Bombyx mori: one gene and its partner. The protein of the gene in region 1 purifies or fractionates together with the protein of each later gene. This does not show direct contact. Links are inferred from orthologs where the notes say so. Each region holds a gene or a part of one and is shown on either strand. Other genes may lie near its edges. The genes, in order: kinesin-like protein KIF13B and disks large 1 tumor suppressor protein.

Evidence for each region.
Region 2: the proteins of kinesin-like protein KIF13B (region 1) and disks large 1 tumor suppressor protein purify together in Drosophila melanogaster (affinity purification with western blotting; 3 studies listed by BioGRID). This does not show direct contact. The link is inferred for Bombyx mori from reciprocal best matches to the Drosophila melanogaster genes Khc-73 and dlg1.

Annotation. Positions count from the first base shown.
Region 1 is NC_085111.1:15,114,546-15,118,379, reverse strand, and holds part of kinesin-like protein KIF13B, read left to right. Parts: intron 1-152; coding exon 153-313; intron 314-977; coding exon 978-1,092; intron 1,093-1,599; coding exon 1,600-1,701; intron 1,702-2,639; coding exon 2,640-2,745; intron 2,746-3,275; coding exon 3,276-3,467; intron 3,468-3,834.
Region 2 is NC_085118.1:7,804,367-7,807,685, reverse strand, and holds part of disks large 1 tumor suppressor protein, read left to right. Parts: intron 1-923; coding exon of another isoform or gene 924-946; exon of another isoform or gene 947-2,545; intron 2,546-2,601; coding exon 2,602-2,708; 3' UTR 2,709-3,319. UniProt on the Drosophila melanogaster protein: During embryonic development, some isoforms are essential for proper neuronal differentiation and organization. Required for cell polarity; maintenance of apicobasal polarity.

The DNA of each region.
Region 1 (3,834 bases):
ATATTTCGGTAAAAGTTTCTTGAAGCTTGCTGGGCTAAGTTTACCTCTCGACACTTCATACAATATACATAACGTTTATAACAAACGTTAGTACTCATCCGTGCTGTAATGACATAATACGGTTCGAGTGCAAGGCGGCGTGTGGGCTGCAGGTGGTGGCGCGCGGCGACATGCTGACGGGCGGCGTGTACCAGCTGCGTCAGGGTCAGCAGCGGCGGATCGCAGTGCGCGTGAAGCCCGCACAGAACTCGGGGACGCTGCCGATCATATGTCAGCACATTGTCAGCGTCGAGGTGGGCTCGGTCACGGTCAGGTACGTGAAGTTCTCGTCTGCATCGAAGGATGTCCATATTTTTTTTTCATTACAAATCATAAACTTGCAATGTTTCAATTTTTCTTATTTTGATGTGGGTCGTAATACTTAGTATCCTTCCATTATCAACTTCTACTTTTCACATCATTTAAGTATTGGTAAGAGTCATAGTGGGTTTGTATCTCCACCTTGAAATTTAACATCTTGAGGAGAGCAGGTGTCCTCATATGACCCACCTCAACAATACCAAACTAGTTAAAAAAAAATTGTAATAATTTCAAAGCCAAACCGTAATTTTCTAAATCTTATAACCTCACAATTTTATAATGAGCATTTAATATAAATATAAATATTTTACTAACAATCACGCCACGTTAACTGGTTCCGTAATAAGTTCGTAAAGAACTTGTGTTACAGGTACCAGATATCGGAAATAAATGTAAGATTTTTATTATACACATACATATATTTAATATACATCCATAACCCTGGAAAATATATTTATATTTATCATACAAATATCTTCCCTTGGCGGGATTCGAACCCGCGACCTAGTGTAGTGACCATGTCACTTACCACTACACCAGACGGACGTTAATATTGCACGCTACTATTGTACATGGCGGTTATATGTCTATACGAGTTTTTTTGAAACTGTCCACAGATCCCGCTTACAAAAACCTTTGGATTCATATCAGGAAGAGGACCTGGCCACGCTGCGGGAACGTTGGAGCGACGCTCTGGCCCGGCGCAGACAACACTTGCACGCACAGCTACAGGTCACCTGGAATACTATACTGTGTTGATGAATGGCTTTAGTTTATTTTTGACTAACGTACGTGAGTCACGGAGCTCACCTGTTGATGAACAGGTATTCAAGTCTACATAAGCAAGTGCCGATTTCGTCTTGAGATATTTTAATTAAATCGGAACCACTGCTAGTTGTGTTGTTTAAACCAAGACCCACGGCTCCTCTTCGGGGTGGAACATGCAGGACGCGGTATTCCAGTGGGGACCCTCACAGGGCACCTTTTTTGACCGTGACGGGGCAACACAAAGTCACCGTCGCCCGAAACACGTCTTGTCAGATCACCCGGATTCACTTTCGGTCACCGTCCTCGTCAAACTCGACGATTAGAGTTCGGCCCAGTTCGTTCGTAGTTGGAATAGCCTCTTAAACTACCAGCGTATACGTCGGGGAAAAAACACCACCCGGGACAAATTCGTTCAGTAGAGGTTGTAATGTAAACTGTGATCTTGTTTAATTCTCGAATTTTCTGCTACAGAAATTGGTAAACATGTCGCCTTCGATGAAGAGTGAACGCGACATGGAACGCGAACAGTCTCTAGTCGAGCAGTGGGTGTCGCTCACCGAAGAGCGGAATGCAGTAAGTTAATTGTTTTATTATAATCCCAACCTAAGATTAAAGAATTTTTGCCAAAACTATTATGTCAACGACTTTAAGATGAATAGTAGTCCTAAGTAAGGGACGAGCTCACCGCATGGTGTTTAACTCCTTGACTGCCATGCCGGTCACCGGTGCCCCACGCGGCGCACTGAAGTAATTATATCGATTTCTGTTACTAAGCGCCTAATTGCCTAACTTTACCTTCGTTTGTTTTTAATGTATGTTTTAGAAATAGATTCATTCTTAGTATCTTCGGATTCGCCTTTCTCAGAGCCTACTAGATATTCCGGCGTCTCAGTAACGTAAATCGACATAATTCAGTGCGCCACGTAGGGCACCGGTGACCTATACGGCACTAAAAGGGTTAAGCGTTAGCGTTCCCAGACACAACTCGCACGCTGACCTCTAGAGACTACATTCAGTGGAAGGTATGATTGCTCTGCGATATAAAGTGGTGCAGTCGACCCATCCCATATCTATTTTTTATCAGGGTTCGGTATATACACCACACTGGTCTTAACTCATCTATATATTAATACTTGAAGCAAAAACTTTGTAGTCTCTCTTTACGAAAATTGCGCGGACGGAGGAGTATGAAATTTCCCATACTTATAGAGAATATAGAGAGTGCAGAATGCAATTTTTTTTTAATTATGCGTCAAAATACATTAATTCAATAAAAAAGTAATAATAGTTTTATAGTAAAATAGTTTTTGACAATAGAATCATAATAATGTTCAAACTTATATTTTAATTAATTATAGTCCAATTTTGACTACCGGGGGGCCACTAGTATTCATAATTTCACAAACGACTCACAAAATGAATTCTCGGTACCAAAAAAAATTTAGTTTTTTTGCTATCAAACATTTTTATTCTCGAATATTTACAAAATATTAATTGATTGTTTTATTCAGGTTCTAGTCCCGAGTCCTGGCAGCCCCATCCCGGGCGCTCCGGCCGCCTGGACGCCTCCGCCCGGCATGGAGCAACACATCCCCGTGCTGTTCCTTGATCTCAACGGTATGCTTCACTGCAAATCAGTACATGTTAATTACAAAAAAAAAAATTGGAAATTTTTAATTACATTTTGGACACACAAGATTGGCGCCGGAGTAAAACGACAGTATACTACTACCACCATAGTGACAATATAACACTAGTAAAATATAACCGCGTTTCGCCGTGGCCGTTCATTTTTAGGTTTTTTGTGCGAAAAACTTACTGGAAGTGCTAAGACCAACTACTCCAAGTTTAGAGCCAGTCAGCAAAGAAATAACTAGAAAATATTTTTTATAAGCTAAGTACGAAAGTTCGTGCAAAACAAACGCGGGTGTGGCTTGAATTGATAAATTCTATATTAGGCGACGGTTTGCACTAAATGTCGAAATGTACCTTTTTTTTATTGCCCTTGTAGGCAGATGAGCATACAGCCCACCTGATGGTCAGTGGTTACCATCGCCCATGGACTTCAGCAATGCCAGGGACAGAGCCAAGCCGCTGCCTACCGTAAATCTATCTAGTAACTAATATTGAGCCCACACAACCGGCAGCTGACGACCTGACCACGCACCCGAGCGGCGAGGAGGTGAGCATGGCGGGGCTGAACTCCATCCTCCCCAAGGAGCTCGGCCACAAGTTCTACGAGCTGCAGATCCTGCACCACCACGACAAGGACGTCTCCGCCATCGCGTCCTGGGACTCCTCCATACACGACTCGCAGTACCTCAACAGGGTCACTGAAGGTTAGGGCATGTATAATGAAATAAAAAGGAAATATTTAAAATATAACCTTTTTAGCTCTTCATACTTTATACAGTTTGTAAGCAATTGTACTTGAAATTTATTCAAAGAGCCATTTTTTAACATATATTTTTATAGGCATGTGTTTCAATAATGTTTACCCGTCTCTTACAAGGCAAGATAATATGTAATATTCCATGCTCGGACTAAACACTTCAATCAGCTCAATTGTACGCCTTCCAGTAGAAGACAACAAAAATACGAAAATAAAAACGTAAAAACTTGTATTTTGGCATTCTAAAATTGTTCTCAAAATTTTCATATAATGGGATGGTCGCAAGTTTTAGCGTCATTTATTAAAGTCATTAA
Region 2 (3,319 bases), on another chromosome or scaffold:
AATGAACATGTTGAATCTATATATGTGTTAGGAGATTTTAATGCCCATCCTGGCAAATTATTTGGAAATGAAATGTTAAGTTTTTGTGCGGAGCAGAATTGGCTATGTGCGGACATTGAGAGACTAGGTATTGACTCTCAATCATATACTTACACTAGCGTTGCGCATGGTACCTGTTCGTGGCTCGACCATTGTTTAACTAGTGTGGCCGCGTGGCGGACAGTAGTAAACGTAAAAATACATTATGATGTTTTCTGGTCAGATCATTTTCCATTGGAGGTCGAATGTAATCTTGAAAGAGTTAGATCCATGACTATTCCGCCTAATATTAGTAATGTAAATAAAATTATATGGGGTGAACGCACAGGAGATCAAATTGATATGTATTTTAAATATTGTAATGATAAATTGAAATTAATAGATTTTCCTCTAGAATTGAACAAATGTTGTGATAAAATGTGTACTAATGTGAATCATCAATCTGTTATAAATAATTTTTATATGTGTATTATTAATGTTTTAACTGAAGCCTCTATTAACTGTTATGATAATTTTAGTAATAAGTGTGAAATAACCCATAGGGGTATTCGACCATTGATTGGGTGGAACAAGCACGTCCGCAGTGCTCACCGGGTGGCTAGACAAACTTTTCTTTGCTGGGTGTGGAACGGGAAACCTCGGAAAGGAACTGTGTATAGGGATATGGTGGAATCGAGAAAAATATTCAAAAAACAGCTTAAATTTTGTCAAAACCATCAGGAACAAATAAAAATGAATATTCTTGCCACAAAACACGAACAAAAAGACTTCCGAGGTTTCTGGAAACAAACAAGGAGATTGAGTCCAAAAGCTGGTATCCCGGTGAGCATTGATGGCGAGTGTGAGCCTGTGAGGATTGCTAATCTGTTTAGAAACCATTTCAGGGTACAATCACCCGGTCAGTTAAGTAGAGGTGCTGATGCTGGGGTGGTGGACCCGAGTCGACCCTCGCATGTACCACCTCGGATAACAACGAAGGAAATAACTAAAATTATAATGAATATGACTAAGGGTAAGTCTCCCGGTCATGACCACCTCAGCATTGAGCACTTTCAACACGCCGGTCCGCATTTACCTAGATTGCTAGCGCTCTTATATACCTTCTGTATCAGACATTCGTATCTGCCCGGGGCGTTAATGAGAACGGTCGTTGTCCCGATTTTAAAAAATAAAACAGGCGACGTATCGGATCGTAACAACTATCGGCCGATCTCCCTGGCAACCATAACTGCTAAGGTACTCGATGCAGTGCTCGAGCGGCAGGTGAGTGATCATCTTACATTAAGTGATGCTCAGTTCGGTTTTAGACCGATGTTATCTACCGAGTGTGCAATCCTGTCGCTAAAGCATGTGGTGGGATACTACACGGAGAGGAATACGCCTGTTTATGCAGTGTTTCTCGATCTTTCGAAGGCTTTCGACCTAGTCAGGTACGACTTGTTGTGGGGTAAGTTGAGGCAGACGGGCGTACCGGGACCTTACGTGGACTTGTTCTCCCATTGGTACGAGTATCAGACCAATCAGGTAAGATGGTCAAACACACTTTCGGAGGAGTACAGGTTGGAATGCGGGGTGAGGCAGGGGGGCTTAACCTCACCGGCGCTTTTCAACCTGTATATTAATGAGTTGATCGAGGCACTCGGTGAGGCACGTGTCGGCTGCTCGATTGATGGTCACTGTGTGAACAGCATCAGTTACGCTGACGACATGGTGCTGTTGAGCCCATCGATCGGTGCTCTCCGGCGGTTGTTGTCCATCTGTGAGAGGTACGCGGAATCTCACGGGCTCCGCTATAATGTTAAAAAAAGTGAACTGCTCGTCTTTAAGGCAGCAAAGACAAAACCGAGTTATGTGCCACCAGTGACGCTCGGAGGTACTCCACTGAAGAGGGTTACTGAGTTCAAATACCTTGGCCATATTGTAACTGAGCACCTTAAAGATGATGCAGATATTGAAAGGGAACGGAGAGCGTTGGCTGTCCGCTGCAGTATGCTGGCCCGCAGGTTCTACCGTTGTACCGCACAGGTTAAGGTAACCTTGTTCAAGGCGTTTTGCCAGTCCTTATATACCTGTACCCTGTGGGTTCGATATGCGCGGCGGGCATACAATGCTCTCCGAGTGCAATATAATAATGCTTTCAGGATGTTGTTGGGGCTCCCGCGGTACTGTAGCGCATCAGGTATGTTTGCGGATGCTCACGTGGATGATTTTTCATCAATCATCCGCAAACGAACGGCCTCACTGATGCGTGGGGTTCGTGCGAGTACTAATAATATCCTGATGGTTATAGGTAATAAACCCGAATGTGCTGTTTTGAGACACTGGGTTCATATACATACCCATATACCAGGTGCCTCAAAGCAGCGCAGATTTATGAATTAAATGTTTAAATGTTTTAATTGCTAATTTTAATTTTAATTTTAATTTTACTAACCATAGTTCTAAGTATTATTCAACTTACAACATATGGACTTGAGAGGGTCTGAATTAAATGAATTTTATTTTATTTATTTATTTTTTTTATTTTATTTGATATGTTATTCCGGTGCGTGTGATTCACAGCCGTGGTGACGGGCGACACGCCGGAAGAGATATACTCGAAGGTGAAGGCGGTGATCGCGGCGGAGAGCGGCCCGTCCGTGTGGGTGCCGCGCCGCGAGCCCCTGTGAGCCCCCGTGAGCCCCGACCGACCGCCCGGTACACTTTACTACTTATCATAGTGCCTCGAGTATCACTCGCCATTGTTAGCACGCAATGTGCGACTCCCTTGTTGTTTGTGCGTCCCTAGTGGTGTTGCCGGCGCTCTGCGAGTCGCAGTCGTCGGCCGCGTTTTATAATTAATGACAACAGCTAGTTCACATTAGTCGTTAGAAACAAGCGCCATGGAAACGCGCATATTAAGAACCGAAAGGTCCGAATTACGTAATAGTACGCGCGTAGACGCACGCACCTCGGTAAGCGCGTTTTATTGCTTTTAGCTACAGCTCGTACACATTAGGCGTCTCGGAACACGAGTTTTATGAGCACGGTTTAATTTACACACGCGAAGTGCTTTTCCGAACTTTGAAAATGAACTGATCTGATTTATTGTTTATCGAAATAAAAAACAAACGCTACAAGCCGTTTAATGTCAGGCGATTCCTCCTTAGTAAGGATTTTTTTTGTAATATTGATTGAAGCACCAAAATTCTCTTGTCTCTGTTTCTATCGTCTTTAATAGTAACAGCAGAGAAGCCTCTCGAAAGAAATCAGTCAACTTCCAGATTGAGCCAATGCTCTT